Lonchura striata: one gene and its partners. The main gene of each other region encodes a partner of the protein of the gene in region 2 in a complex. Links are inferred from orthologs where the notes say so. Each region holds a gene or a part of one and is shown on either strand. Other genes may lie near its edges.

Region 1 (10,282 bases), on a different chromosome or scaffold from region 2:
CCTGGATCCTGGCCATACTTTCTACATTATAGATTTAAATTCTTCTTACCATCTATCTTTTCTTTAATATCTCTTCTGTGCACAGCCTGCTCTTTTTTAGCCATTATTAAAGTTTTGCTTCAATCCTCCTTTTGCAAGCCCCTCACAATTTGCCATCATCTTTTTATGAGTTGTTCATGCTGTTCTTCATCTTTTACTTCAGGCTTTGCATCCCTTGTTGATCTATCAAATGAATCATCATATGTAGGAATTTATTCCTCATTTCATTTTGCAGTTTGTGATCAGCTTAGGCTTCTCACTATTGCACATTGTAGGTATTGTTGTATGCTTCTTTTCACTCTTAAATTCAGGTGTCTCTCAGTGTTTCATTAGTGCACCTTTCTAGTCCTCCTGCCCAGTTCCACTGCTCATCCTATGTCCAGCTAATGGCAGAGTTCATCAGGAACTGACTGCCTGTTTGTATCCGTGACTTTATCATGAGGTGATGATGATAGATATGGGGCCTTCAAGCAGAGGGACTTGAGTGCAATAAAAAGCTGAAGGATGCGTATGGCTTCAGGGCCATAATACTGGGAGATGGAGACCCCATTTAGTCTACTGCTGAATTCATTCTAAACTATTTCTATGTCTGCAGAAAATATTTGGGGTTTTCCCCTGTGGAAGAGTTTCCCTGAAACCTCTCTGAAAGAAAATCACAGCAGTTTTCAGGAGGTTATGGGGGAAAGCAGAAAGGAGTGGAAGTGCAGTAGAAAAATTATTGATTTTGCTTCAGGCAGCTCATGGCTTGAAGGTGAAAAAGAGTCTGAAAGAGGGAACATCTTGTCAGTGTTATATCTGCTTTCCTGTGTGATATGTGAAGAACTGGGGACTGAAGCCAGTCTGTCAAAGGTTGGTGAAACTCTGTGTTTTCTCAAAACTGTAATCTTCTCACTAGGCGCCTCATCCCTGGAAACATTCACAATCAGGTTTGACAGGGCTCTGAGCAACCTGATCTAGTTGAAGATGTCCCTGCAGAGGTGCTGGAATGGATGGACTTTGAATGTCCCCTCCAGCCCTAACTGTTCTGTGATTCTATGATAGTGAACGACATGTATAGTTAAGACCGACTCTGTAGTTGGTGTACAGTATAAAAAATTTGGATTTATGGCCAGCTGTAGATCCTGTCTAGACACAGAGCCAGTCCTTATCCTCAATCAGAAGTAGTAATTTTATTGAAAGATAGTGTAGCTGTAGTGCAAAATGACTGATCATGAACATCCATGAAAGGTGCCATGCAGCCTCAGAGGCTGTATTCAAGAAAGGCAGATTCCCTATGACATTTGAGAGCTGAGCAGAGATGATTTTGGATCAGAAATAAATGGAAGTTTAACTATTTTAGTGGTGGCCAAAGGACTGCTGTTGAGAAGTGAAACATTAACAGCAGAGTGAAAGACAGCCGGGATTGCTTAACGAGGTTCATCTTCAGGCACAACGGAGCTGGGGGCGTCCAAATCACGGAATGGCAGAGGGGGACTGCACACCAAAGCCTGCAAAGGAAGCCCAAGCTGGTGAGGAAGTTTTTAAAGATTTCTTCTTGCTGATAGTAGGAGAAACTGAAGGCAAAAAGGCACAAGGAGGGATGAGAAGTTTCTCTGATTGTTACAGGTTGACTTGTGACCAGATGACAGGCTCTTAAATGCAAATTAGGTACTTGATATTGTTAGTGGTATTGATCTAAATACCTTTACAATTTTAAGTCCGTAATGGCTGGGGAATAGAGGAGAGATGTGGGTTTGAAGGCTTCTGGCATGTTTTCCTGGTTGTTCAAATGATTCGATACATAATTTTCTTAAATTACTTTGAAGTTTGGGAGAAGTCTGCAGGCAATGGAAACCACTCTTGATCTGTATAAATCAGTTAAACCCTGATCTTTCTTGTGATCAAAGAATTGGAGAAAATAAGCCAGAAGAGACCTCCAGAGGTTATCATGTCCTTTCAGGGTCTGGTCATTAAGCCCAAAGTGTTGCTGCCACACATTCATCTAGTTTCTTAAAACTTTATCTCAGAAACAGAGAAAGAGGAGAGAAATACATATATGGTAAAAGGCTATAAACGTATGGCAGGTGGATATGAATTAAAAATAAGACTCATTATACAAGTGCGGCTAAGCTGAAAATTAGGAAGGGGTTGTACCAAGAGATGAATGGAGGTAAAAATGAAGAGATCAGTTGAGTATACACAGATTAATGTGGACAGTATTGCAGCAGGGAGTGGTGAGAATGTGAAGATTGTAAAAGCAATATGAAAATGCAGATTCTCTTTCTGAGGATTTGGGAACCAGAAAAAAAAAATTATGAACTGAAAGTCATAGAAAAATGTATTAATGGAAACTTCTGGCTATGCAAGGCATCTGGTAGCTGAATGTAACATGCACGCATGAATCATCCTACAGACTCCCCAGTTGCATAAGGGATAATTCAAAAAAGAGGAAATCTTACAGAAAGCAATCCTTGCTTTCATGTTTACCAGGTGAAGTTGTTTGGCACAAGATTTTCACAGAAACTCAGGAGGGCATCTCATCTATATGCCTGCTGTGGGACAGGACCTGATATTTATGTAGTCCCTAACGCGTTCTTATGTAACAGACATCATGGGTTGTCTGAACCCTGCAGGCCGAACCACACCATCTCTATTCCAATGCTCATCTGTCCTCACTGACAGGGAAATTGGAAAAAGGAGCCACAAATAGTCTTTGCTGAAAAAAGTCAGTGATTTCTCTCATCTTATCCTCAACAAAAATGGATTATAGTTCATCTCTCTGGCTGTTTTTCCTGTCAATGGAAAGGAGTGCCATTTGGTATTCTTCTTTCTCGATTTTCATCGGTTTTATTCCAGAGTCATAAAATAGTTTCTCCCATTTTGCAACACCATTTTGAGTTCATACCCCGTTGTCTCCCAGGCTTCTTTACCCTAGTTTTGAGTACAAATGAACACCATGCTGACTGTACTGAAGTTTTCTTTGATAATGGAAAAGCTAAGGACCTGCATGTTTCATGCTTTCCTAATGTGATGGAAAATCATTGATACTCTTACAGAGATTTCCCAGTTGTCCACTATTATGAGCATTTCATATGGACCCTATTTCCTTGTGAGAGATCAGAGGCACTGGAGTTAGGATATATCACATACAGAGCTGCTCTAGCTGTTACTCCACTTACCAAAGAATAAAACAGTCTGGTTTGAGAGCACATTTTCCAATCTGAAATAGCTGTTTTGTAATCCATATTCTCCTTTTGGTGCTTAGAAGGGATTATCTGATCAAGTATCTCTCTTGCTATGGAGGAACACTCCTGGAGGAACAATCTGCTTTTTTAAAGGCAGTGATGATGCTTGTTCTGCTTTTTCCCTTCACAAGGGAAGTGGCTCAATGTGGTATTCAGCACTTGAAGGTGAATTTCATCAGGCTCTGGTGATCTGAGCACATTTGAGATATCCAAATATTATTTAAGCAGTTTTTGTCTCATTTCACACATACTCCTGCTGGTTAATTTAAAAGGTGTTGCATACCTTTGTTGCAATTTATTTTTTTAGTAAAAAATAACAAAAAGGACACACGTTTCCTGGCTTCTCTGGATGATTGTTTTCTGGTTTAAATAACAGATTTTCCTTTTCCTTCCTCTTTCTCCAATATTGACAGCATTTCTATCACCTCTTTTTATTGCCTTTTATGTCCCCTTGCTAGCTGTAGTTTATTTTGTGCCTTAGCTTTGCAGGCACACTTCTACCTCTTCATGTTTGATCTGTTTGTCTATACCTGTCTTCAGAAATGCCATCTTATTTCCATTTGTAGTACAATTCCTTCCTGATTTTCAGTCCAGTCACACAGGTCTCCTTCTATCAAGTATCATTCTGTATCTGTATCTAAATTTGTGCTTGCAAATTTATTCTCTTAAACTTGTTTTTGCTGTTTGCTACAAGTTACCATTTATTGCCAGACATTTGAATTCCTTTTCTTCCTTTCTGTCTGAGAAGACCTTCTGGCAGATAGTGGCCTAAACAGCTCTGCAGTGCATTAGACAAGTAGTATGTTAATCCTACTGACTGACAGGGTTTTTCATGCTAGTATTTAAAAAAAATAATAATTTAGCTTATGTGACACACAGGGTTGTATATACACAGAGGAAATACAGCTGCAGGAGGCTAATAATATTAAGGCATCACACTGCAGCAGCATGGGAGCATGTGCAAGGGATGGTGAAACCTTTCCTGTCTTCCTTTTTTATTATTCCTTTAGTAATTCTGCTGCTGTGTTTGCTCTGCTTGCCTGTGTATGACAGAATACAGCAGATTTCTACTGGGAGCCGTATAGAAATACCTGGGGCATGAGATGCCAGCAGAGGGCTTAGAAATATTTTTGCTGCCTCTAGCAGGGGGTGAAGACTTGCAGGACTGGAGTAGGTGCTAACCTGGTGTGGAGGGGCAGGATCCATGTGAACAAGACCTGTTCTGCCCCCAGCTCTGGGTCTGCTTTTGAGCACTCATGCCCATGAAAAGGCTTTGATAAACCTGAGCTCCCTAGAGGCTGCACCCAGGTGAAAAGCAAGGCTGTGCATGTGTGCAGGTCACTGGGAGGGCTGAAGACAAGGAGCTGGTTTGTGGCAGTACCAGATGAGGTACCAAACTCTTGTTTTACCACTGCTGTAGAGGATAAAAGGAACAAAGAAGGGGTAGAACTTTCTGGCACCATCTAAAGTTTGGCCTCCAAGTCAGCTGACCCCGTGTTTAGCTGCCCAGTTAGTAGGAGTGAAATGGGGTCTCTGGGGATTTTCAGAGGAAGCAATGCCAGAGTACATGATGGATAGTAATTATACTTCCTTTGTGCAGTCCATCACAAGTGTTCTCCATGTCTTGTTAGCAATAACTGAAGCCAGATTAAGGATCTGTAGTGTGGCCAAAGGCCTCTTTCCTGGTTCATCAGCTGCAAACCTGGTTCTTGTGATAACCAAGCACTATCAGCAACTCGATACTTGCACTAAGGATGAGTTTATGCAGACTCCTTGTACCAGCTGTGGATTCTGGGTGTGGTCTGTGCATTACTGATAAGAGAAGGGAGAAATATTTGAGAAAATTCTTTGAACATTTGCCTTTTAAAGAAGCCAAGTGTAAGAGGAAGAAAAAAACCTCTGCACTGCACTGAGGATACAGCAGAGCCACAAGCACTGAGGATAGTTTATGGGAAGGTTGTGAGTTTTGCTCTGCAATTGCAACTGTCACTGGAAGAATGCAGATGACAAGCTCCACTATTGCCATGGGAAGGGCATGGAAGGAGGGACCACAGTGTACCTGCAGGGAGCTGAGCACATGTAGCTGCAGGGGGAATCTAGGGACTCCCAGCAGAGATGGGCTGCATATGTCACATATGGAGCGCCAAAGTGGTCTTCTGGAAAATAGAAAGGAGAGAGAGGTGTTGGGGCTACTTCTGGGTGCTGGCTGTGCACACTTGATTAAACTGTCCCATGGGAAAAGGCAAGGTCATTCTAGGGAACTGATGTGGGAATGAACCCTGGGTCACTTCACTCCTGTAGTAGCAAAGAAATGATTTATCACAGTGCAGGCATCTGTGACATCCAGCGTCCAAGGGTTTGGTGTGATGAACATTTTAGTAGTTATGTCTTGGAATGTGTGGCTTTCCAGTGAAATAAGATCCCTGCAGAGTAAACCTGTCATTACCACACTGGGAGGGAAATGCATGCTCTGCTCTAAATCCACAGGCTGTAGGTGTATCTGGGACCTGGGATATTTATTCAGCTCACATCTGTGCAGCATCCAGCACCATGCTGGGCTGGTGCACGTAAAATAGCTGGGGGTATGCCAAACAACAGGGAGGACTGTGCCACAAAGTGCTGACAGCCTCAACCTGTGACTGATTTAGGCTGTGTTCCCTGATTCCTCTTGAACTCTGGAATTATCTTTCCTGGTAGCATCTCCCTCCCCTTTCTGCCCTGGCTGCACAAATGTGCTCAATTAGGGTTAACTCAAACTGAATCAAACTTCGTGCCTGAGGTTGGAAATCTTCCCAGTCAACTCACCACAGCCACATAGCATGGTGGGAGACAAGGCGAGAGGGGAGATGAACGCTTTTCAGAGAAACGAATCCAAGGAAACTTTGTTCACTTTTATTTCTGCAGGAGATGATCCCCCCAGAGGAGATTTCCCTCTTCAGAAAAAATCTCCGGTAAGTGTTATTGCTGGTTTGCTTTGCTTTGCTTTGCTTTCTGCTCAGCTTGTTTTAAACATTGCAAGATCCCTGTGTTCTCTCCTCTGTTGTGCTCTGGCTAGAGACAAACACCCTTTCTTGCAGAGGGCTGAAATAAGCCTTAACAACTCAAGGCAAAAATCCTTCCACTAACCTGATTAAGTTAACAAAGTGCAGCTTAAAGGGAGAACACAAACTAACTGAATGTTTGGGGAAAAGGGTAAGGGATTTATTGCCTTTTTCTGAAAACTACTTTCCTTGTGAGGAAAAACTTAGATCTCTGAAGTGGATGGGGCTGTTGTGCATAGGAGTGAGGGAGTTGAACTCTCTTCAGTTTGATGAAACCCACCAGGGAAGGGTACCCAGATGATGAAAAGCAGAAGGAAGGACAGGGATTGAGGACAGGCCACTGGTGAGTGTTGGAGAGCCCAATTGTGGTGTCAGAGCCTTAGGTTTACATCTTTGCCTCTGATTTATAGCCTTATTCAGGTGAATGTGTTGCTGCTGTGCAGCTTTGATGTTTGTGCCAGTTTTCAGACTAATTCTTTTTGAGTGCTTGACCCCTAAAAACTGTTCAATGCATAGGATTCAGGAAGAATTTGGCTTATGTTGTAGCTGCTTTGACTTGCAGGATAATATGTAATACTTAGTCTTAAAAGTCACAGTCATGCTGTTAGCAAACCAATTATTTAACTCAATTTTAATTACTGTGCAGACATTAACTATTGGATATCCAGAACTCCTGGGAAATATTAATCTTTATCCTGTTTTGCCATTAGTTAGCAAGAAGGAGAGCTGAAAACAAACGTCTCCTGTAGTGGGTACTTTAAATGAACTTTCTTTTTTTCAAAGAAACAGTCTGTCAACTTCCACAGTATCTTTAAGAGATCCATAATCCCACAGATCCCAGGTTTGCTGTGGTAGCTAAGCACTGCAGACTATCTGTGTGTTCATGAATCCAGGCTTAACCTCTTTGCTTTTGCTGGGGCTGTCTGCTGAGCACGGTCCTCCTCCACAAAAGCAAGCAAACTGCATCTGGCTGTCTGCATGGATGAAAGCTTCCCCCTTTTGGATGTCCAGGCAGGCCACAGGCAGGTCAGTGGTACTGTGGAGAGAATACATGAGGGTTTGTGCACGTGCTGATGCCATCTCATGACACACAAGCCAGATGGAAGTACCCCTGCTTGTAAGTCCTTGCTCTGTGTTTGTAAGCACTTGCTCAGGCACTTGGGGAGGTTTAGCTGGGAAGTCACTGCCCCCTGCTCTCCTTTCCCTCCTTGCCCCTGCTTGTCTGTAGGAAGTGCCCATTCCAGAGCAGGAATGGCTGAAATGAATCACTGCACCTTAAACTCGTGCAAATAAATCCACTGGAACTTGTGCACTGGGTGTGGAGGGGTGAGTTCAGGCAGCAGCACTCCTGACACCTGTCCACCTGGTTTGGACAGTCACTCTGTGCACCTTATTAAATGCCATGAGTATGTATAGTAAGGTCTGGGAAGAAGAGGAAGAAAAAAATCCCTGTTGTACAATTTTACTTCCAATTTCATAAAACACCTCCCAGCGCAAACATGAAACATAATCTGCCTCTTATGGATTTTCTTCCATTATGAAAAACTTGTTGGAGAAAAATATTCTGTGTGTGCATATGGTTGTGTGTTTGTGCATTTACAGCTTATATATGCCACTTTTTTTAGGCTATTCTAAAAGCAGGAGGCCCAGTGCAGTTTCCAAGGGAGCAAACTCTTACAAGCCATATTGCTGAGCACAATGGTTTCAGAGTAAATCATAAATGAAATGGATAATTATGTATTTACTCTAGTAAAGCAAAAAGATTAAGGGTTTCTTATAAAAAGGCAACCCTTTGATAAGAAAAAAAAAATATATGATATATATAAAAATGGACAAAAATACTTGTCTTTAGAGGATTAAGTAATGGAAAGTAGAGGGGAGGTGGGAGTTGTGGAGTTTTGATTTTCTGTTTGTTTTTTTACTCTTCCATAATGTTGAGGAAGACAGCATCATTAAGCTATACTTTTCTAGACTTGATGCCATTGCATTGGGAATCCAAATAAGCTTAGGTCTCTTGGTGGTAAAATAAACCTGAATAAACACATCTATTTTGGTACTGTATTTGCATTTGGGACTCTGGGAAGAAATACAGGAATTCATTCTTTCTGACATGAAGCACAGAAATGCATATGAAGAGATCATCTCACTGGCCCATACCATGGCTGTTTAAATCTATAAGTATAGTTGTATCTGTTAATATCACACTTCCTCCAGATTCCTTGCCAAATCCATGGCCAGCCCCTCTCCTACTAATTGGCAGAGGCTGGGCAGTGCTGTGCAAACCTGCTTTCCTGTTGTGAGGCAGTGGAGCCACTAAGCAGCTGGAATTTGAAAGCTGCTTAGCTCAGACCACGGTGGGGTAGCAAGAGGGACAGAGGCCCCCACAGGGTCATGCCAAGACTCATCTGTTTAATGCCTTGTATTTCACTTGGGAAGTGCTGATGTTAGCTGCAGTAAAGCCAGGCTCAGAGAAAGAGTGGCCACACTTAGACAGGCTTGACAGTCCCATCACTGGCTTTATTCAAAAATTCTGATTAATAAATTGAATTAACCATAGCTGTGCCAGCAATCTTGGAATATGAAATGGACGCCATGCCTGAGGGAGTGCCAGACAGAGAGCTGATGCTCTGCTTCAGTGAGTGGTGGCACAGCTCAGCACAAGTGAGGAGCAGAGATTGAGAGAGGTAGCAGCTTTATATACAGAAGCAGACAGCAGATCCCTGGGGTCTCCCTGTTTCTGAGGCAAAGTCTGGTACTAGAAGAGGGAGCAGTTTTGGGGCAGGGTGGTAGCTTTATATAAAGTACAGAAGAAAAGGCATCCAAAAGTGTTCTTTTGGTCTCAGTGATGTTTTAGCATTGCAATCAAGAGTTGGTAGCACCCTTCCAGTGGAGTTCCTGGAGCTACAAGCATGGTGGGCTGCTGATTGCCCACGAATCCCCATGGCAGTCCTTACTGGGCTCATGTCAGCCAGGCTGATTCACTGGGGAGCCTTAATCAATGCAAGACTACTGTGAGGTCCACTCTCTTTTTTGAGTCCAGCTCACAGGCCAGTCAAGCAGCTGTGGGCACTTGATTTTTGGACTGGACTCCTCTCCACCACCCAGACACTGTGAGAATATGTTTCTGGGATGAAGGCTTTGACAGTTGATACATTCTTGTTTGTCTTCCACAGAAACTGTGTGGCTCCAACTACCCCCTGAGCATTGCCTTCATTGTGGTAAACGAGTTCTGTGAGCGCTTCTCCTACTATGGCATGCGAGGTATGTGGCCTGTGACTTTCCTGTCCTGAGGTCTTTACACAAACTGCATTGGTGTTTCTGAGCAGTGCTGTGTGTAGTATCAGCTATATTTCAAAGTTAATTGATATTTTGGAATGCACATATGAACAGTGTAGCCTAACTTTGTTGCTATATCTAAGATGAGAAGAAGTTGGGACTAGAGGGCTCCAAATGTACCTTCCAGTCTAAATTATTATACAATTTTCTATATCAAATCTGGTTTTCTACTGTGTGATGTCTTTCATAGTTGATGTGCAATCAGTGTGCTTGGGAATTGAATCTTACAGGCACCTAATCTGCAAAAAGAAAAAGTGCATAAACAGAACTACAGGTTAGGGTAAGATAAGCTAGAAAATACATTTTTCAGCTAAACATAAATGTTTATGAGCAAAGGATGTCAGATACTCATATATCTCATTTTAGTTTCTCCTGTGTTAGAGATTATGAGGAACAGGTCTGGAAGCACAGATCTTTCCACCACACTACTCAGTTGCTAGACAAATCAGTAGTTTTCTTACCACCACGATCCTGCTTACCTGCAGATATACACATTAATTATCTGATATGATTCTTTTTTTGTTTCCTTTTAGCTGTCCTGACACTGTATTTCTTAAGCTTCTTCCACTGGGATGAGAATCTCTCCACTGCTGTGTACCATGCCTTTTCTGCGCTGTGTTATTTCACACCTGTCATTGGAGC
Region 2 (10,758 bases):
TAGGAATAAATGGTACAGCAAATGTCATGGTCTGTGTGTTAACTTGGATCTTACCACCAGTATTTTGTTCCATCCGTAGATAAAATCCATACCCGTTTTTTCCTTTCTGGATCTCAATAAGTCGTGGTTTGAGGGGAAGCAACCTTAGGCTGGCTCTCTCTTTGCTCAGTGCCATCCTCTGGCTTGTGAAATAGCGGTCTGTTTCTTCATTTGAAAGTAGAAACATAACATGATTTTCAGACTTCTTTACCTGTGACAGCACATGTACAGTCTCAGATGTCACCCCTTCAACAGCACATGGGAATTGGGGATATTTGGTAACTGGTGCACTGATATATAGTGGAGTCTGGGTGCTGTTAGTCCACACCATGCTACTATAAATTGATTTTTCGTTTCCTGTCAGATACGTGGACCATGACAAAATCAAGGGCATGTAATGAATGAGAAAATTTTCCATATTTCATACTGTGTTCCTGACCTGTAGGGAATTACCTGTGGAGGGCCATAGGGGTGGCATACAGTGCTGTAGAATCCAGGGAGCCTGAGTAGATGGTGTTTGGCTATTCTAGGTGTGAAACTCTGTGATACAGACTTATCTATACCACTGCTTTAGATTACAGTGACGGGAGTTTCAAGTTTCTGTCACTCATGATCCTCTTCTGTCTCCCTGTATTACTGATTCTGAGGTGAGATTTTTTTTTTTTTTTCCCTGTCTGTTCAACCTCTCCAAGTCTTTCTCTTAGTCCTTTCTATTCTAATGGGTGCTCTTTTTACTCATCTTAACCAGTGTCACTCTGCTGGTGGTGTTGCAGTAGCTCAAAGCAACACAGGTGTGTATGATTCCATAGTTAGCTGTGTGCACTGAATGCTGCTGGAATGCTGGAGTCTCATGGCTCTCTGAAATCTCTTCAGCTCCAGCTGTGTTTTAGCAGTGCCAACAGCGGAAAGCTGGAAGCCTCATTAGCAATGTTCTTTGCAGCCAATTAGTGAAATTACTTGCACAGTAAATTTCCTGAGTTTTGGACTTCTTCACAGGAGAAAGGGGACTACTGTCTAAAATCATGAAATCTTCCCTGCTCCATGCTGACTGTCATCAGAGGCTTCCCTCTTCCTGCCCTGGAAACTACATTGGATGACTTGCCCTCCTGCCATTAGCAGCATTTCCAGGACTTCTGTTCAAATGAATTCAAATGAATTGATTTAATAGGGTTCCTGGCAGCAGTATACTTGTGTTATTTAAAGTTCTTTGGCCTGTCTTGATGGCCATGTTCATTGAGAGGCAGTTCAAGAGGCCGCTTGATAACACAGCCAGCACAGAGGGCTACACTGGTGTGCTGGTGGTGCATGAACAGCAGCTCCCAAGATTTACTGTGAAGTGCTTAAATCAGCCAGCCTGGCCTCCTCAGTAACCCTGATAGGTTGCTGTAAAAGTAGGCCAGAACAGAAGATAAATCAATACCTTTTCCACCACTTCCTCATGGGTGTCATTTTCCACATTTTTCCCATTGATTTCAATCAGGCGATCGTTATTTTGGACACCAGCCTTTGCAGCTGCTCCTTGTGATGAAAGCTCTACTATGAACAACCCCTTCTGTCCTAAAATAAATGAAAACTCATTACACAGGGCAAGTCACTGCAATAGGCCTGAATATAGTGGTTAAGGAAACTCAGCACTGATGTCCTCGGAGATTCTTGGTCTCTGCTTGCACACATATTACAGGAGCACCACAAACCTTCCACACAGACACTCCTCTGTCTCTTACTCTGGCCTGGAAAAATCCCTTCAGTGGTAGAGGGAGATATTCGTTCACTATCTGCAGCTCAAAATGGTTTTTCTTTCCCTACTAGGGGTGAAAAAGGGCTGATTAACATAGTTGAAAGGGATTTGCATCCTGCTCCCTCCCATCCTCCACTTCCCCCATTATTTTGAAGAGAGAAGCTGCTTTTACTGTTGTATTATGCGTTTCATAACTTCCTGTGTTTGGAAGCCTTCTATGTTTGGTCTCTCAATTATATTGGATTCCAAAATAGCCTTTAGAGGGCTCTTTAGAGGTGGTGCTTTCCAGAAGACCTCCCTCTTCCGTTGACTGGCCTTGGAAAAAAAGGCATATATGGAAAAGGTTCAAAATCCTTTTCTTTCTAGATAAATTAACTTACAAATCAGGGAAAGTATTTCTTACAGCTGTCTAGAATCTCATGTGCTGATTCCTGAGGTGATTTTGAGGAATGGAACAGGACTTAACATAGCACATTGAGTGTGTATCTAGTTTGGTTTTGTTAAGTGGGCTTAAATAACAAGCAGAAAATAGCTTATTATTTTTCTCTCTCTCTTTTTTTTTTTTTTTAATCTGTTTTCCACCCCATGAGAAGCATGGTCCTCAGGAAACCTTGTGCTGCATATGCTGTACAGAAGTGTTCTGGAGATAAATCTGAACTCATCGTGCTACTCCTCACTTTCTTTCTGTTAGAAAGAACAGTTTGTGTCTCCGCACTAGCCCCCACATATTAACTGTGGTTGCCTCTGTCCCTGCAGCCAAATATATACATATTTATATTTTATCTCCAGTTTCTTCTCTCCAGGCTCTCACCTTCTATGCTTTTCAGGGAGAAGCCGTAGCCTGTCTCCTCCTTCACCAGGTAGCAGAGCCGGGGCTGTGGAGCTGCAGTGGCCATGGATGGTGGGCACTGCTGCTCCTGCTGCTGTCCTGTGGATGCTTTTTGACCCAGCTCTTCCAAGTTCACTCCCTCCTTTTGTGCCTTTTCATAGGATGCGTCATCCAGAACAAGGAGCACAACGGAATTCCCGCTGTTTCTGACCATCTCCACCACCTGTAATGGACAAGGGGAAATGGAAGCAGGCACTGGAGTGATGGAGCTAAAAGCTTTACCCAGGAAAAGCTGCACTGTCTACTGCTTCTGTTGTCTCACCCCCTGCTCATGCACTAGGGAGGCATCCCAAAGACATTCCATGCCCATGGTGGGTAATGAACGATACAGGGGGATACTCAGAGCAGTTGACTCTGCTCCTGGGTTTCCTAGCCATAAAAACTGGAAGAAAAAGCTTCACACAGCAGCTGTGGGCCTGGGGCATGGTGTGGATCCCAGCCTGAACAGATTTGTACCTGTGCATGTTCCTCCTTGTCCACGAAGACACCGTTGACCCTGAGCACTCTGTCTCCATCCTGCAGGCCAGCCCTCTCGGCCGGGCTGTTGCGTTCCACGTTCCGCACGATGTGCCCCGCCGTGTCCTGCTCGATCCGTAGGAAGAAGCCGTATTTCTTCTGGGGCTTCTTGCTCACTGTGCACTCTCGGGGCTGCAGAGCAGGAGTCATCTCTACCAGACAGGATGGAGAAAACACCTGTGAGTATGAACAGGAAGCTTACCTGGGGTGTATTCTCCCTAATTGCATATCAAGAGGGTTTGCTTCAGAATTCTTGGGGTGTTTTTTAGGTTTTTTTTTTTTTTTTTTTTGGTTGGTTGGTTTGGATTTTTTTGGCCCCAAAAAAAACAGCTGTGCAAAGCTGAGTTTAGTTAACAAGACTAGCAAGAAGAATCTCTGACCCTCCTTGCTTTTTTTCTCTCTATATCTCACATGAAGTTAAGCAAAATGCAGAACTGAAATAAGGAAAGCCTGCCTGAAAACATAGTAAGGATTGTAGAAAGGGTGTAATACCAGGATTAAGTCTTACAAAGGAAATGAAGTTTTGGGAAAAGAGAATGGAGTGAAGGGATTGTTCCCCTCCCTTTGACACTTGGGGGACCACATGTGAATACTATCCCCAGTTTTGATCTCCCCAAGTAATTACCATATTTGAGCTAGTTCACAGAGGGAATTTTGGTTCTGAAACACTTATTTAAGGAGGCTGAGAGAGCTGGATTTGTTCAGTCTTGGGAAGAGAAATTAAAGGCAAGATCTTCTTGATATCGTCCCACTGCCTAACTGGATTGTGTGGAGAACACAGCCAGACTCTTCTTGGAAATAAACAGTGGGAGGATGAGAGGGAACAGACAGGCTGCAGCACAGCAAGGGAAATTCCAACCAGACATTCATAAGAACAGCTTTTCCTCTTGGGGCCAGTCAGGTATGACTAGAAGTGTCCAGAGAGGCTGTGAAATCTCTGTCCTTGGAGATACCTGGATTGGGCCCTGAGTAACCTGATCTAAGCTGACTCTGTTTTCTATGGGACATTGCACCAGGCCACCTCTAAAAGTCCCTACCTAAAATGCTCTGGGATGTGAAGAAACTGTGGTTTGGGTGAAGTTCGTCATGCAGGAATACCATGTATAGAAAGTAAATAACAGGTGGGGCCAGAGAACATCTCTCAAAACATTGTCCTGCTGAAGATCCATGAAGATGGGGGAACGAGACAAATGAAGACAAATTCCTCCAGTTGTAAAAATCCAGATAATTAGCAACCTTGGTTACTATTTTACTGGAAAGACTTTTTTTTCCCGTCCCTTTACTGACAGAAGTCAGTTCTTTAGATCTGCTGGCAGTCAAATCCTTCTGTGAGAGCAGCTTAGTGCAGAACCACTGCTGTAGCTACCCACGGTGCAGACTCTTTGCTGCACTGCTGATGTTACTTGGGCAGCACATAGAACAGCATGGATGTGTGGGGTGAGTTTGGCACAGATGTCACTGGAGCTGGAGAATACAGGAATTTCAGTTTGCAAGGATATGCATCCTGCAGAGCATGATTCACTTGTAGTCCATGGACCAGTGCTTTGAGTATTTTTGAGTCTCTGTGTATTACACTGACATTAGCTAATATTGGGATGAACTTCCCTGCTATTTAAACATGGTTTAGAACACATCAGACTGTATCAATTGCAAGTACCATTCAAAGTAGCTTTTCTCGACAAACACTGGGAATCTGTGATAATTCATAAATTAAGATGCAAAACCAGTACTACACAGAGCTGGAGAAACAGTAGGCTTCTATGAGAGAAAATTATTTCTTCATATTTAGAAGTGGAGAGAAGGTTACAGTGCACTGCATACAACACCTTTTGATCCATGCAAAATCATTTGTCTTGCAAAAATAACTTTCCAAAGGGAAAAGGGGTTAGGAAAAAATGAACTTCTTACCTGTATCAATGTAGAGCAGCCTTGACTGGAGTTGTCTTTTGCCGTTCCTCCTGAGCTGTACGTATAAGTAAGACTGGACTTTGATTGGGTAAAGGTTGATTTAAAAGATTATTTATTTAACTAAGTTTCACTGAATGTGTGATACTTTGATAGGCTATCTTGTCCTTGGGGGCAGAAGTGCTAATCACGTGCATTTCTCATTAGCTTTGCATTTTGTCCTACTGATATTATACTCAAAAACTCACTCAAGGAGGTCATCTGAGGCAAGCCTGACCTTTGTCTGGGCTAAAGTCTTCTGCTCTGAGAAATGTCTTAAAGTGAGCAGGTTTAGGTGCTGCTGGATTGACCTGGGCCAGCAGCATTTGCTTGCAGGTTAGGAAGTTACTGGTTAAAATTTGCATGCCCATTGTTGGATGGAAAAATAAAAGGCTGTGCCAGGTTAACCTTGACCAGCAGCCAGATGCCCACTGAGCCACTTTCCTCTACATGGGGACATGGGGAGAAAACAGGATGGAAAAACTTGAAGAATTCAAGATAGGGACCATGCCTGGGAGAGATGCATTGGAAAAAAAAAGGGTTTGTGATTTGAGGGGTGGACCCTGACTGTTGAGGCCTTAACACATGTGAAACATGTACTGCAATCAAGTGACCTGTGTAGGTACAATCTCCCTGGAGCAGGTGGAGGGAGGTGCTTGTGATATCAATATGGTGAGGCATGGCAAACTGGCTACACTGTAGGTGCACTGGGAGAGGCTGTGTGGGTTTCTCTGCCTTGGGAAAAGGCAAGTGCGTTTGTGGGATTGTCTTTGCTCAGGAACCCAGGTGCACTTGGTGCAGGAGAAAGTGGAAATCTGCTGTCTACCTCAAGGAGATTTACCCCTGGCAGAAAAGAATCCATTATTTGAGTTGTGTGATATAGGAAGGAATACAGCAGGAATCATCTGAACCAACAGAGAATGAGCCTCACCAGGAACCATGTGAGTGCAGTGCTCACCCACCCCAAGTGGTCTTGTTGCTTAACAATCCAACGTGGTGCTGTCCTGAGTGATCCCCTTGACAGATAGGGCCAAAGCAATTGACTGTTCTTATGGAAATTTGGGGGAGGGAGGGCGTGGAATGGGGGAATACTATCTGCATATATGTCAAGAGACAAGGTATAGTGGTTATAGAGGATGTGTAAACCTGACTGTTGGATGTAACAATGGTTTAGGTACGTAGTATAAGTTGTAAATGTTGGTAAGAAGCAATTTCATGAAGGATAAATAGATGGAATGAAAAGGTTTGAGTAGGGCATAGAAATGAAGCAATGTATGAGTGGCACAGAGGATACTTTGATATCTCAGATCACACATGACATGAATGGTGTGGAATGAGGAGTTGGAACTGTACTGTTCTGGCTGGGGTGGAGTTAACTCTCCCCTGGCAGCCTTCATGCTGCTGTGCTTTGCATCTGTGGCTGAGACAGTGTTGATACCACACCACTTTTTTGGCTGCTGAGAAACACTGTTTTCTTCTTCTTGTGGCTTTTCTCCCCTTCACTCCTCCTGGACTACAGGGAGGGGACAGAGTGGTGATAGCTGACCTGAACTGTTCAAAGGGATATTCCATGTTCCATACCATTTGATGTTGTGCTCAGCATTAAAAGCTTGGTAAAAGGAGGAGGAAGGACAGCTCTTTGTGGTTGTGGTGGTCTCCCCAAGCAGCTGTTGTGCCTGTTGAAGTGTGGCTTCCCACAAAGGTAGCTAGAGATCTGCCTGCTGATGGGAACCAGGGAATGAATTCCCATTTTCCTTTCCTTTCCTTTCCTTTCCTTTCCTTTCCTTTCCTTTCCTTTCCTTTCCTTTCCTTAGCTTTCCTTTCCTTTCCTTTCCTTTCCTTTCCTTTCCTTTCCTTTCCTTTCCTTTCCTTTCCTTTCCTTTCCTTTCCTTTCCTTTCCTTTCCTTTCCTTTCCTTTCCTTTCCTTTCCATTCCATTCCATTCCATTCCATTCCATTGAGATAAGAATAGCTTTATCCTTATCTCAATGCATAAGTCTAGCCTTTTTTTTATTTTGTCCCCATTCAGCAGGAGAGGAGTGAGAGGGAGTCAGGGTGGGTGTTTGGCTGCTGGCTGGGGTCAGCTGTCAAAGGGCATAGCTTACCCATGATCCATGAGCATGTGCAGGATATACTTACGGACTTGGACTGACCTGAGGGTTGTTTCTAATGTTTAGAGGTGGAAGCCTCTAAATTTGAGATACCAAGGTAATTAATAAACTGACCGTGTGAACTTCTTGTTAAAAAATCTAATTCAATTTTAAAAAGCTTTAAATCTACTTATTTCTCTCGTTGACTTGCTGTGGAATTGGATTATTAGAAGTAATACCTGTGTTTTCCCCAGCTGTCTGCTGCGACTGTCTAATTCCAAGGGAAGGTAATAGAAGAGATCATAACCCAAATGTGCTGCAACATGACAGTCATTGGTGTTGTAAAAGCCTTACTGTAATCCACTTACCCTAAGTGGATTTGCAAGCTGTTGTGGTTTGGAGTTGCTCCTTTTGGTACAACTTCAAACCCATGAAGTGAAGTAAGTGAGCCCCGGTGTTGTAGGAACCAGACAAGTCAAACCTGCCCTGTCCTCTGCTTGCAACCTTTCACACGAGTCATTCTGGGTGATGGAGACATCAGAGTGCCTCATCAGCCAAGATGGGAACTCTACAAGCATCTCAGGCCAGCACACAAGGAAACAGCACCTGATCCAAGTTTTATTTTTTAATTGTAGTGCCACTGCCATAGTCAGGTGAGGTAATTTTGGGTCCTGACAGGATTTTTTTCCAAGAAAAAGGTGCTACACAAATGTAAAATGTTAATGAAGCTCAGAAATTCAAAAAATTTCCTATCCTTCCATCAGAAGAATGAAAATTATTTGAGAATTGCTCAGAGTAAAGGCAGCTTGTAATGTCTCCTTTTCTTCTCAAGCATATTCATACAGCTACAAAAAAGAGGATCATAATTAAAAAAAAAAAAAAGAGAAAGAAGATATCTTTTTAACACTGTGACAAGTGGTAAAATCTGAAAAAAAAAACCCTCTTAATTTACAATATTCCTATATTGCAGGGTTTGGCAACAGTGACTTAGGTGGTGTGGTTCTATTGGCACAGGGACTAGACCTTAGGGCGTCAGCTTTCTCCAAATTATGTTTCTTTCCAACTGTATCCTGGTTGTAGTGATACACGAACCTTTGTTTCTAGTGTCATGGTGTTATCCTGTGGGATAACATTTACAAAATATTTTCTCTAATTCTTTTTTGCCAAAGCTTTCCTGATGTTTAGTTAGAAGAAATTCTGTAACTCGTCTGTATTAGCAAAAATGGTCAGAAATAAGCATTTTCTAGTAGTTGTAAGTGTTCACATTGTTTTCTCAGTGTGTTGGGTGAATGGAGGAAAGCACCTTTGTTCTTAATTTTGGTACTTGCTGGGATCTCTGACTTTAGTAAATTCACAGGTGAACTATATCTTTATTATGAGTGTAAATTTACAAAGTTCAGTTGACTAAAAGGTGCCTTTTGTTATTAACACAATATTACATTGTGTCTAGCCCTAAAATGAAATTAATATACTTCATATGTTTGGTCCTGAAAATAAAGTTGTTCTCAAATGCTGTGTAACACTGCCAGTATTGTTCTATTGACAAAAGGTTTATGTGGTTATTTTGGTGTAAAAATGTTCCTTCTTTGTTATGGTGACTCACTTTCTTACCTGGGAGCATGTACCTCCCTTAAAAATGGATATGATGAGGGTTTCTAAATAGTGTTTGTTCACCTATTGCTTACTCTAGACTTGCTGACCACAGGCTCACTTCTCTCTGTGCAGTGCTCTATTTTTCTTGGATTCATAACACAGCAGTCAATGAAAATTCATGGTTAAATATTTGGAAGCATACTTTGTTTCTGTCTTTAAGCCTTTGAAAATCACTGCAGCCCTTTCCCTTTGCCCATTTTTTTGCCAATTATGTTTTTTCCACTTTTGTTTGGCAATTGTTTTATAAAGCACCGTGTGATTTGGTAATAGAAATATTTGGTTCACTGAAGTTCTCTGTAATCATGAAGCAAAGTCCATTTGAGCTACCAAATGAATACTCATGAGTCATCCTGTAAAAAGACAAGTGGTAATTAATTCTCTCTCTTCTAGTGACCACATTCTTCTGACATGGTAAAGATACTCAGAGAAAAAAAAGGAGGGGAAGCAAATGTTGCAATCCTACTGGTTTGCAGCATCCTAGAGGAAGGGGGGAATACCCCACCTTCGAGCATTTTGGGCTTGATATCTTCCTAAAAAGTAGGAGAGGGGAAAAAATTAATTTGCTGTCCCTGTGTTTGCAGCAAAGAGATTCTCTATGCCCTGGACCTGTCAGCAAGGAACTACAGTGGCAGTCCTCTTGCCCCAGGCTTTGGTCTTTTGTGCTTTAAATATTGAATTGTCTTCCCTACTGGCCTTTTTACTGGAGAATATAAACTCTGAACAATGCTTTCTTCTCTAGAATGTTCTGTATTGATTATGAATTTGGGTTTTAAGGTGCAGAATTTACTACTGAGTTAACTATGAGCTCCTTCTTTGCATGTCAGACTGAAATCAGTGTTAAAAACCTGGAAATTTCTGTTGCAGCAAAAATTCAAAGGTCTTAAAAAGGAGGACTTATGCAAGCTGAGTGGAGTTTTTTGGTGGATTTGTTGTAGTAAATGGCAGTACACAGGTGGATATATTTATGTGCATGCACAGCACTCAGGCTGTGTGCAGCCCTGCCTGGGTAACTGGACCTGATGTTGGGGTGATTAATGCTGCTTGTATGGAAATGCCTTTGGAATTCTCCTACCTCCGGCCCTGGTAACTTGAGAAGACTTTTCATTCCAGCTCATCCCATTGGACATTTTCATTTTCTGGATGTGTATTTCTTCAGTTTTGCCTTTCATTTGCTGTATCATTTGGTACTCTTTGGACATGCATGATGATGAGACATAAAAAATAATGTCATACATTTACAAGTCTGGCTTTTCCATCCAGCTCATGGATTTTTCTTATTACTACACTATGTATCCTTATGTTTTGTTTTTTTTTTTTTTAATTTGACCTGTGAATGAGAATGGTAAGTTATTTGCCTTTCTGTTGCATGTGCATTTCTTGCCCTTTGGAGACAGATTTCTGAATTTGATAGTAGACTGTGTTCCTTCTCTTTTAAGCTTTTGAAATGTATAAATAATAACCACTATGTCTAATTTAGTATTTTCCTCAAGGAGTATGACAAGAAGGTGCTTATACAATCACCAGAGAGAGCACATCCTCTTCCTCCAGAAATACAGCTCAGTGAGACACTAATTATCCAGGCCTAAGGCATCGATTTCTTCTCCTCTTCCCTTCTTCCATTCCTCTTCCTGCTCCCTGTGTCCCATCTCGTCCCACTCCACCCTGCAAGTCTGTAATCCTTCAAGGAAATGCCCCCAATTTCTGCATTAACCTGTCTGTAGTAGTCAGTGTTTAATTTCACTTCGCTAGTAAAGACTCTATCCTGAAATTTCATTACCCTAAGATGAGGCTGAACTGATGTTTGGAATGCTTGGGTGCTTTAGTCTCAGCTAATTAGGACCTAACTTCAAATTTCTCATTGGGTGCATTCATTCTTGCAGCAAGAAGGAT
Region 3 (10,832 bases), on a different chromosome or scaffold from region 2:
TACCGGCCGTGTTTTTAACCCTCCCTCCGCGGCCGCAGACGGCGATGCTGCGGCTCCGCTGCTGCCGGGGACACGCGTGCGGAACGCGGCTGCGGGAATTCCGCGGGTGGCACCGCGCGGGGGATTGAAACCCCCGTGGCAGGGAGGTCTCGGAGTGGGGGTGCGCCGGCTCGGGCTCAGGTGTTATCCTCTAATCCCGCAGGTTTCTCCAAGGTGTTGGAGGCAGAGCGGCTGCCCGGGAGCCTGCGTTCACTTGAGGTGTAAAAGCTGCGCCTCCCAGTGCAGATGGATTTTTAGAACAGTCATCCTAAAAACTTCATGGATCAGGTTTTTTTCCTGCTGAACCTTACGGTGCCCGTGCAGCACGGATTGATGTTTTATGTATGTGTCTCGCAGATCTTACGGGTTTTCTCGGTCTCCAGGAGCTCAGCTGTTCCCCCGAGCGGTCCCACGTCCATCAGCCGCATGAAAAATCAGATCCTTTTTAAAATGTAGCAAAAAATGTCTTTATCCTGCGCTACTGTCCTCGGGCGAGTTTCTGGCGCTTACTGCCGGTAGCGCTGAAACAGGTAATGACATTTGGGCAGCTTTTGGTTTAAAAAAAAAAAAAATATATATATATATTTTCCTTTAGATCCAGGGCGCGTTGGTTGGTGTTTTAAGCTCAGCGCTTGGAGAGGGCTCCGAGTGCTGGGAAGCCCGTGCGGATCCCGGCAGCACAAGCCGGGGGCTTGGCACCCTCTCCTGGTGCGCGCCCGGAGTGCTGCGGCAGCGCCGCCGCATCATCCGCTCCTACCGCCGACCCCCGGCAGAGCCCCCGGTAACGCCGCGGCTCCGTGCGGCCCTGGCTGCGTCCTGCTTCTAGAAATGCCGCGGACGGTGCTCGTCCTGTGAGCTCAGGAAAGCTCTGAAGGGACAAAATCACACTCAGCCTTGTTTTTCCTCCCATATCCCTGGTTTGAAGAAATACCCGAGTGCTGTCATGTGCTGCATCGCTTCTTGTACTCCTTCAGGCATTTAGATAAGCAAAAGGTGGGGGGAAAAATAACGGAGAAACAGAAGACGGTGTTAAACTTAATTATTATTTTTCAAGTATTTATGACGCCATAGAATGGCCAAGAATTTGGGGGAAACACTGTGGATTGCAGAAAGGTCATCTGAGGTGAGTCCCACACAGCGCTGGCGACGCCATCTGGGCAGGGTGGAGGAGCCAACGAGCCCGTTTGCCTTCCCAAATTCAGAATAATCCCAGAGTGGCTCCCAGCCCTGCAGAGAAGGCTCCGCTCCTGCAGGAGCTGGGAAGAGCTCAGGACCTGGAGAGGGGAATTTTCTGCTTTCTGCTGCTCAGTGCTGCTCCCGGAGCTCTGCCCAGCACATCTGCAGCAGCAGGTCACCAACACGGCTCTTCCCGCTGGGACTGAACCTTTTCTTGTACCTTTTTGCCCCCATTTTACACTTCAAACCTCGAGTTTTAACTCACCCACTGGGAGTCAGGCAGAGACTCTTCACCCCTTGCTTGAACAAGGCTCCCTCCCTGGGAATGTGCCCCGTGGAAGGGAACAGGGAGGAATTGCAGTGTTTTAATAAAAGCAGTTAATTTTCGCCAGGCTGGGACGTGGGAGAATTCCCTTCTTTGAAATGCTCAGCACAGGTACCAACGCTCCCGTTCCCATGAGGTTCATGGACTGAGGTCAGCCACAGCCAGGCTTGCCAGGAATTTTGTGTGGGCATGCAGACACTTGTTTTCCCATTAAGAAAAAAAAATAGGAGTAAAACACAAGTCTCTAATTGAAGGTGCCGTGAGTTTCTGTGCAAAGACATCTTTGGTTCCTGATGTGTTTAGGATATTATTATTTATTCCAGAGCAAGATCTCAGCTGTTAAAGTCCTTACTCATATAATTTTTGGTATTTGTATTCCCAAAGTAGTGAGAATTTTATATATGAGAGAGAATCCCAACATCATGGGAATAAATGGAGTATGCCAAAGATGGGAGAAATGGGAATGGCCTCTAACGTGTTACATTTGTGGGTTTGTGCTGTAACTGAGCAGAGCAGTGCCCCGTGATTAATTATCCAAGGCAACAAAGTCTTGTTCTGCTTTATTATATCTGTCCAAACATGATCATTCCATTCAGATCTTTTCAAATACTAAAGTTTACTTCTTTTTGTAGCTGTGGAGAGGGGGAAAAAAATCAAGCAGTGAGACAGTTTTGTGTTTTTTTTTTTTTGTTTTGTTTTGGTTTTTTTTATTTGAATATTTTCATTTAGGGAGGAGTCCTTCAGCTTCTCTGACGTTGGCCAACCCATGTCCTGAAGTGATATTTAACTGATTGCTCAGATTATTAAACTGTCACGTTCTGTTAAAGACTCCAGCACCTGCTGTCACTCACACTTCCAGTTCAGATCCAGGTCCAAGGCTGAGTGAGCAGCTCTGGATTGGAGCTTCAGCCCTTCTGAATTCCTTAAAGAGAGAAAATTTCGATCCAGGGAAGGAAATTCATGTCAAACTCTTGTGTAAATCACTGCACCCTTGTTCAACCCCCATGTATATATCCTGAAACCCAAGAGGATTGGGTGCAACATTTTTGGCAGACTATTAATTTAGTGTTCTCTGAGTCATCCCATTCTTTCCAATTTGCTCATCTTCAGAATGTTTTAGTCTATTAGCAGTCTCTGAGGTTATGTGCCAATTAAATAATTCCATTCATTATTCAGAAACCATATAGAATTAGTTCATTATGCTTCAGCCAGCCTCTGGGCATGTGTACAAAACCGTATCAAAGAGCACCAGTTAACAAAAATAATATCAAAAGAGAAAATGCAATTGCTACAGGGTGTTGATCAGTGGTACCATCCCGCCCAGGAGACAGCTCCATCCCAGCCCTGGAAGATCCCCGTGCACCTTTTATTTCATTTCCCATTTATGAGTCTTAATTACTGAGTGTTTGTAAAGAGCTTTGGAACACTTGGATGCAAGACGGTGCAGAAACTCAGGCAATGATTATTAATTACATCATTTTGGCACGGCTCGGGCAGCACGGGCAGGACAGTTCCATGGCAAGGGGTGACACGGGGATGGCAGAGCTACCCTCTGGCTCCGTGCCTGTTTCCTCACGCACAAACCAGAATTTTTAATCACAGTCTTGACAAAGTGTTTGTAAAGCTTTCGGAGCAGAGATCTGCTGGGATATCAACCTGAGCGCCGTGTCACGGTGACAAACGTCCCTGGTAGGTGCGGGAGGAGCAGATTTGCCTGGGGAGGATGATGAAGAGGATTTTAGTGCAGGGTTCGGGAGGCAGACGGAGCTGACTTATCGGGCAGTGATCCCGGGGCGAGCAGCCCTGGGCATTTCTGGATCTGCCGGGCCCGGGCTGGGCCGAAGGAGCCGCCGCACCCCGGCCCATGGCTGAGGGACAGGCACCGGCACTGGCCGTGTGTCCGTGTGTCCGTGTGTCCGTCCGACAGTGACGGGGACACTGTGGGACACGGCGCTGAGGGCTCTCTGCAGGGCCTCGGCCCTCACGGCCCTGCACGGAGCTCGCCCGCTGTCCCTGCCTTGAGCGCTCTGTGCCTGCCTTGAGGGCTCTGTCTCTGCCTTGAGGGCTTTGAGGGCTCTGTCCCTGCCCTCGGGCTCTCTGTCCCTCCACCCTCGGGCTCTGTCCCTCTACCCTCGGGCTCTCTGTCCCTGCCCTCGGACTCTCTGTCCCTGCCCTCGGGATCTCTGTCCTTGCCCTCGGGCTCTCTGTCCCTGCCCTCGGACTCTCTGTCCCTCTACCCTCGGGCTCTCTATCCCTTGCCCTCGGGCTCTCTGTCCCTGCCCTCGGGCTCTCTGTCCTTGCCCTCGGGCTCTCTGTCCCTCTACCCTCGGGCTCTCTGTCCCTTGCCCTCGGGCTCTCTGTCCCTCTACCCTCGGGCTCTCTATCCCTTGCCCTCGGGCTCTCTGTCCCTGCCCTCGGGCTCTCTGTCCTTGCCCTCGGGCTCTCTGTCCCTGCCCTCAGACTCTCTGTCCCTGCCCTCGGACTCTCTGTCCTTGCCCTCGGGCTCTGTCCCTGCCCTCGGGCTCTCTGTCCCTTGCCCTCGGGCTCTCTGTCCCTTGCCCTCGGGCTCTCTGTCCCTTGCCCTCGGGCTCTCTGTCCTTGCCCTCGGGCTCTCTGTCCCTCTACCCTCGGGCTCTCTGTCCCTGCCCTCGGGCTCTCTGTCCCTGCCCTCGGGCTCTCTGTCCCTTGCCCTCGGGCTCTGTCCCTTGCCCTCGGGCTCTCTGTCCCTGCCCTCGGGCTCTCTGTCCTTGCCCTCGGGCTCTGTCCCTCTACCCTCGGGCTCTCTGTCCCTTGCCCTCGGGCTCTCTGTCCTTGCCCTCGGGCTCTGTCCCTGCCCTCGGGATCTCTGTCCCTGTCCTCGGGCTCTGTGTCCCTTGTCCTCGGGCTCTCTGTCCCTGCCCGCGGGCCGCGCCCGAGCTGCCGCAGCGTCCCCGGGTCACCCGTGCCCTCAGCCAAGATGGCGGCTGGCGCCTCACGCCGCCCGGCGCCCCCCGCCCCGATCAAAGATGGCCGCCCCGCCGCCCTGGACCCCAGCGGGCTTCTTGCCCTCACCCAACATGGCGGCCCCGCCCGGCCCCCGTTGTGCGGTGGGTGTGAAGCCGGGGCCGCCATGTTGAGTGCGGCCGCATCCCGCCGTGCCGCGCGGGCGGCGCTGCCGGAAGCGGGCGCGGGGCCGGTGTTGACAACATGGCGGCCGCGGGCGCCGCCGCGGGAGGAAGAGGCGGAGGGAGCGGCGGCGGCGGGCGGGCGCGGCTGCCTCATTCATAGGGCCCGGCGCGCTGCCTTCCCCCCCTCCCGCCTCCCCCCGCCCCGCCGCCGCCTCGCCCCCCTCCCCGGCGCTATGTCCTTCTTCAGGCGGAAAGGTAGGGCAGCGGCGGCGGGCGGGCGGCCGCCGGGCTCGTCCCCTGCGCGGCCGCCGGGCCCCGGCCCTGCCCCGCCGGGCATCGCCACCGGGCCCCGCGAGGACGCGCGGGCCCTGAGGAGCGGCCTCCCCGCCGATGACGGTCAGTGCCTGCGTCCTCGGGGGGCTCGGGGCTCTCCGGTGAGCGGCCGCGGCCCCGGCTGCCCGCGGCTCCGCCAGCGGCTGTGGCACCTCCCGCGCTCGGAGCCCTTTGCAGATGCGTTTTGCACAGGGCTGGCACGGCCGGCTTTGTGACAGTGAGAATGGGCTGAGAATGTACAGCAGGAGCTGAAGGTGTCGGTGGAAAAGGGACCTCGTCGCGCTGAGCCCAAGGAGTGCTCGGCAGTTCGTTCTGCAGTAGGAGCTGGGAAATTCAGGGCTGCTGAAATATTTGTAACGCCCCAGCAGCACGAATGGGAGCAGTTTAAGTGTTCTCTGCGTTTTGAAGGCGCTTTGTGCCCGTGCTGCAGGCAGGGCCAGAGCTCTCAAGCCGCCCAGCTGTGGTTTGGGTGGTTTTTGTTGCAAGTGGCACCTTTTAGGAAGGGCCCCTTGGGACAGTTCTGTTTCCTCGTGGTGCTGTAGCTCGAGCACTGATCTTCTGATGCAGCGCTGTCCTAAAGTCTTTCTGTGTTTCTGAACCCAAAATGCACATGCTGGGAGGCAAGGACGTGGTACCTGGGGTGATGGTGATGCTCTTGGCTCTCACATCCTCTGGATCTCACTCAGCCAAAGCAGCAGCACTGAAAATGTCACTCTGGGGAGGTTAGTGCAGCAGTTGTGCGAGAAATGAGTCTAAACGTAGCAGATCTGAAGAGTAGAAGCCATTGAGGGCTTTGCAATCCTTTTTGGGGTGTTTATATACAAATACTGGGCTGCAGAATAAAACTTTGATAGTGGTTATAAACTCTTCAAAAAGAGCTCCTGCTGCTTCATTGAGAATTGTGGAGCTGAGGTTCCCTCCTGACGCGGGATCACAGGGACAAGGTCAGCTTGTGTGGAAACCTTCTCAGGGAGAAAGCCATGAAAGCTCTGATTATCTGAGAAGTGTAATTGAGGATCTGTATTCCTTTGATTAAAGGATCTTTGGTCAGAAAGGCAAATCAGCACTAAATGCAGAGACGCTGTGAAGGAGAGGAGAAAAGCAACCTTTCATCTGGGCTGTGCATAAAACACTGCTTGGTGTGATTCCGTTTTTAGGTGTGGCTTTTAGACAAGATTTGAACTGAAGCTGTGAGGGAAGCAGCACATTTAGGCTTAGGATAAAACTCTGGCCACGTGCAGGCCAAAATCCTACAAACACCAATGTTCCTGGGGTGAGCTGTGGTTGTTTAAGAGGATATTGCAGTGGGTAGAAATTAAGACTAATTTTAAATTAAACCATAGCAAGAATCATAAAGCTTGTAGAAAAATCAAATATCAGGGTGAAGTGTTTTTATAGCTTGGGCCTCAAAATAAAGGTCTGGCAGACTGAGGGTGGATAATGGGTTGAGAAATCAAAATATAACAGGTGAGCTGGGCGCTTGAGGGCAGTTATGAAACTGCTGCCAGTGGACCAGCTCATCCCTGGGATATCTTGGGAATAACGTGCAGTCCCACAGCCTGGCTGACCTCAGCAGGATCTCGTTGTTTTCTGTGTGCTGTTGACACACTGTGAACACTTTTTGAGTTTGTTGAGAGCATTTCAGGATGTGAATTGCAACTCTGGAATGTCATGTGCTGCTTTGGCACCCTTTGGAAGGGGATTGGCCACTGGAAATCTCTCCCTCAGTCCCCATTCTGTGGTTCCTTCTGGTTTCACACAGGCACCGCACAGCATCCGCTTTTTGGGGGAAGTGAAAGTGAGTTCATGTGGTGCAACTTCACTCTCTGAAATTCGGGCTTGTCCTGGATCAGAGCTGATTTTGTCCCCTCCTGTTACTGATGGCACCTGGTCGTGCTCAGAGCTGCTGGGGACAGGAGCAGCCTGTGTGGAAAGGGTTGGGACACGACCCTGGAGTTTGTATTTCCAGTAGTAAGTAGGTATTTAGGGAGGAAAGAAGGAACAGAGGTATTTAAACTGAAAATAGGCTTATGGAGGGCTGTTGTGTGAAACCCAGGACTTGCTGCTGATAGCTAGGAACCGGTTTGATGAAATACTGGAGTGATTTGGGAAGGATGAGAGTTCATAGAGGTTGCTTGCTTCCCTCTGGTTTCTCTCCAGTTATGTAAAGGCTGGTTTCCCTCGTGCTGCATCAGGCTGCAGGTCAGCGTGGAGGGAATCCTCCTCTTGTAATGCACACTTCAACCCCTCTGTCACACAGTGAGCTCCCTGGCAGCTGCAATTTTCGACCCCGAGTTGCAGATTTGCAGCCCTGCAGCGTTTGTGCTCGCCGGGGAGGCTGGCAGGCAGCGCTGCAGCCACCGGGCCAGGGCAGTTATGTAACCGGAGCTCTCCTGTAAAATATTTAACATCCTTAGGTGGGGATAGGAAGGCTTCGCTTGGGGTGGTGTTTTGGATGTGTTTTGTGATGTAAATGTGGGATTGTGCTGGGCTGTGCACTGAGGAAGGGCTCCTCAGTGGGTGTTCAGGAATGACCTATTTGTAGTAATAATCCTTGCCTGGAGCAGCCTCCCTGGTAGATCACATTCTCCAGTATCCCCCCTGCATTTGTTTCTCTGCCATCCTGTTTGTGTGCTGCTTGGGCTTCTTTATTTTTGTTTTGAATAGATCTCCTTCTTCAATTCCTTTAGGAGCTTCCTTTAAAAAATACTAATATTTTTTAAAAAATAAATCCTCAAAGCACTTTTCCATCATAACTTTTTGCACTGTTATCTCCCCATCAGTTGCTCACCCGGGCTTTCATGATGATTAAGCAAGACCATTTGTAAGAGAATTAACTGTCTGCAGGGAGTTTCCAGAGCATTTCTGTGGTACCCATCATGGCATGGAAGCAGCTCCATGGAGCCAGAGCCAGCCCACATCTCCTCAGTGTTGGGTGTTGTGCTGCTCTTCCTGTAACACAAGGGAAATGTTGTTTTCAGGTGATTTTTGGTTCACAGACAGCACCTGCCAGTGCTCTACACTTAAAACACATCTTCCCTACTTCCCAGTTCTTCCCTACTTCCCAGTTCATGCTGTTTGTTAAAGTCACCCTGAATGTAGCTTTAATCTACTGACAGCAAACATCTTCCTCCACAGAAATGTAACAGACTGTATTTCATGAAACTTAATTAATGGATGGGTTTTGCTTTTGAAAGTAAGTCAACAGAAAAGCTTTGAAAGCCTCTGTCAGTTACTGGATGTGCAATTTAAACGAGAAATGGGTATTAAGAAAATTAGAGTTTCTATCTGCCTGTGATACTTGCTGATGTTGGGAATTCTATGTCCATTCTCAGGTAAATGCCATTATTGACCCAAAATAGCATTAACATATTCCCTTGTATTTTTACAGTGAAAGGCAAAGAACAAGAAAAGACCACAGATGTGAAAGCAATTAAAAGTAAGATCAAACTTTCGTCTGTAAATTCAGATCTCTGCCATCATTTACCATTTCTATCTTACCCAACAGGATCATTCTTTACTCCTGAGCACAGATCTGACCTGTGCGTCAAACCCAGAATTTAATTCTGTTTCTGGGTATTTATGGTAACTCATCTTTCCTCCTCCTCTTGCTGAATCTGTAGGTGCAGGAGGTTGTTAAGCTATGTCAGGCGTGAGCTTTAATTCAAAGCCATCAGGCACTCCGGTCACCTTGCACGTGGTGGTTGTTCCCATCCACAGCAAACTGCTCCTGGAGTTTCTTGCTCAGCTGCAGTGTCCTTTGGAGTTTGGAAAGTGCAGCCTCACTGTGTCTGATTTGCAGAAGAAGCTGCAGATTTAACTTGGATGGGCCTTGTGAGGCTGAAGATCCAAATCCTGGATGAGCCATTCCTTGCTGCTCTGTGGGGTGCAGAAATCTTGCTGCTAAATCTCATAGGAAAGGAGAAAAGATCGTGGTGGAGAAGAGATTTATAAACTGCAGGAAAACAAGTTTGCTGATCCTGTCAGATTTTCTTGCAGTACTGAAAGGAGATGAGGGAAATGCCAGAATCTGATCTGTTACTTTCATACCCTCAGACAAAATCTTGTTTCTGTACTGGGTAATGTGTTATCTGCACATCAGGAGAAGATTGCAGGTGTTTTTCTTGGTGGTCTGTCTTTCAAATCAAATGCAGGAAACAGTGAGTTACATCCATTTCATAGCCACACCTCACCTTTCAGTGCAACTATCAGTATGGTGACCCTGAAAATAAAAATAAACTTGAAAATTTATAGTATTGCATGTTGTGAGCCGCTGCAGCAGAGAGCACCTTTGTTTGACCCTTGGAGAGAGCAGAACATTTTTTTCTCAAATGTCCAAAATATAAAATTAAATTTAAATCTAATTGACAAAAGCCTGTAGCATTATGAGGAGTGTGGCTCTGGCTCTACACAAGTGATCTCCACCAAATTTTCCCACTGCTGCCATCCCTTGGCCTTGAAAAAAAGGTATTTTCTCCATTACTGCTGGTATGAAACACCCAGAGGCTTTGTAAGAAGCAGCAAGTGGTGTCTTGGTGTCCAATCCTGCAGCTGCACAAACACTTGGCAGTAATTTAAATGTTTCCATTGCTCCTGAGGTATCTGTGACATCTAAGTGTGAAATTGTCAACTGCTGTCATAAAATTGGGAATACAAATAAAGTGATGCAGCATGGAAGTCATGAAGCCCAAGTTGCCTGACACCGTGATGGAACACATCTCTGGAAGTGTTGAGATAATCAGCTCGCCTGATGTACTTTATTTTTGAGTCAGAGGTGTAAGATGTCCCTGCATGACATCCTGATCTAACACAGCTTCCTGAGAGCTTTGGAATCTGCTGTGAGCATGTTTGGGGTTTTTTTCAGCTTTGTCATCAATTAACAATTAGCTCAGTTTTGTGTGAGGAAGTTCTTGTTTGTTCTTTTTGGGCCACTTGTGTCCTAAAACAGCCAGAGGGGGTTAAGTTTATAACCTTTGTTTCATCACAGGTATTTCCTTATTGCTTTTTTTTTTTCTCTAGCAACCAAACAGAAGCAACAAAAATATTTTTGAGAAATAACTCCTATTAGACCTCACAGATAGCTTTGTGGTTCAGGATTTTTTTATCACATTTTAGCTTTCAAAAATGCATGGAAATGGATTGGCAGGAGCATTGGAACGAAACTAAACTGTTGACAGAGTATAAAGTTGTTACAGTAGTTATCAAGGAAGCAGGAAGACTCATTTCATGTGTAAACTTAGACGTGGCATCTCTTGAATTGCTGCTGAATAAGGAAAATAGAGGTGGGTGGGAGTGACTTTATTCTTGCAATAATAAAACTTGTGGTCTTTAAACAGACCCTTGATCAAAGATGACACCCAGGGTACAGTGAGGTGTTAATGAGACTGCCTCTTGCAAACTCCCTGGTGTATATTGGGGTGCTTAGCACTGGGCAATGTTTAGAAGAGGTCTTGGGGTCCTTGTGCTTTAACCATTCCTGTCTTGGTTGCAGCTCCAATCCCAGTACATTCCCCTCAGAGAAGCACTAGGAATCATGCCTTGCTGGAGGCTGCAGGACCAAGCCATGTGGCCATCAATGCCATCTCTGCCAACATGGACTCCTTCTCCAGCAGCCGCACAGCTGCCCTCAAGAAGCAGCCGAGTCACATGGAAGCTGCTCACTTTGGAGACTTAGGTAATGTCAGCTTCTCTTTTTATTCTGTGTATTCCTGGTGCACGCACCATCCCTTGGTTTTCAAGTAAAGAAATTGGTTATAAAAGCATAGCTGCTGTTACAGTAGCATCTGTGTTACCCTGGGAGGGATTTGAAGAGGAAACACAATTGCTTTACTTTGTCATTGTGTCGGAATTGC

Evidence for each region.
Region 1: the proteins of PDZK1 (region 2) and SLC15A2 are in contact, whole or in part, in a crystal structure (PDB 6EZI), measured with the Homo sapiens proteins. The link is inferred for Lonchura striata from reciprocal best matches to the Homo sapiens genes PDZK1 and SLC15A2. Residues at the interface, in NP_001188254.1 of Homo sapiens: Asn386, Gly387, Tyr388, Gly389, Phe390, His391, Leu392, Asn393, Ala394, Ile395, Arg396, Gln407, Tyr436, Glu437, Val440, Ile443, Gln444; in NP_066568.3 of Homo sapiens: Glu723, Thr724, Lys725, Lys726, Thr727, Lys728, Leu729.
Region 3: the proteins of PDZK1 (region 2) and AKAP10 are in contact, whole or in part, in a crystal structure (PDB 3TMH), measured with the Homo sapiens proteins. The link is inferred for Lonchura striata from reciprocal best matches to the Homo sapiens genes PDZK1 and AKAP10. Residues at the interface, in NP_001188254.1 of Homo sapiens: Asn386, Gly387, Tyr388, Gly389, Phe390, His391, Leu392, Asn393, Ala394, Ile395, Arg396, Phe402, Lys404, Tyr436, Glu437, Val440, Ile443, Gln444; in NP_009133.2 of Homo sapiens: Pro655, Leu656, Glu657, Lys658, Ser659, Thr660, Lys661, Leu662.

What each region holds. Positions count from the first base shown.
Region 1 is NC_134610.1:11,473,509-11,483,790, reverse strand, and holds the start of SLC15A2 (solute carrier family 15 member 2), read left to right. Parts: upstream 1-5,808; 5' UTR 5,809-6,082; coding exon 6,083-6,214; intron 6,215-9,477; coding exon 9,478-9,565; intron 9,566-10,173; coding exon 10,174-10,282. UniProt on the Homo sapiens protein: Proton-coupled amino-acid transporter that transports oligopeptides of 2 to 4 amino acids with a preference for dipeptides. Transports neutral and anionic dipeptides with a proton to peptide stoichiometry of 2:1 or 3:1.
Region 2 is NC_134604.1:14,074,232-14,084,989, reverse strand, and holds the start of PDZK1 (Na(+)/H(+) exchange regulatory cofactor NHE-RF3), read right to left. Parts: upstream 5,146-10,758; 5' UTR 5,091-5,145; intron 3,335-5,090; 5' UTR 3,333-3,334; coding exon 3,123-3,332; intron 2,830-3,122; coding exon 2,589-2,829; intron 1,597-2,588; coding exon 1,460-1,596; intron 251-1,459; coding exon 55-250; intron 1-54. UniProt on the Homo sapiens protein: A scaffold protein that connects plasma membrane proteins and regulatory components, regulating their surface expression in epithelial cells apical domains.
Region 3 is NC_134622.1:8,536,811-8,547,642, forward strand, and holds the start of AKAP10 (A-kinase anchor protein 10, mitochondrial), read left to right. Parts: upstream 1-4,880; coding exon 4,881-5,043; intron 5,044-5,075; exon of another isoform or gene 5,076-8,319; coding exon of another isoform or gene 8,320-8,371; coding exon 8,372-8,419; intron 8,420-10,471; coding exon 10,472-10,654; intron 10,655-10,832. UniProt on the Homo sapiens protein: Differentially targeted protein that binds to type I and II regulatory subunits of protein kinase A and anchors them to the mitochondria or the plasma membrane.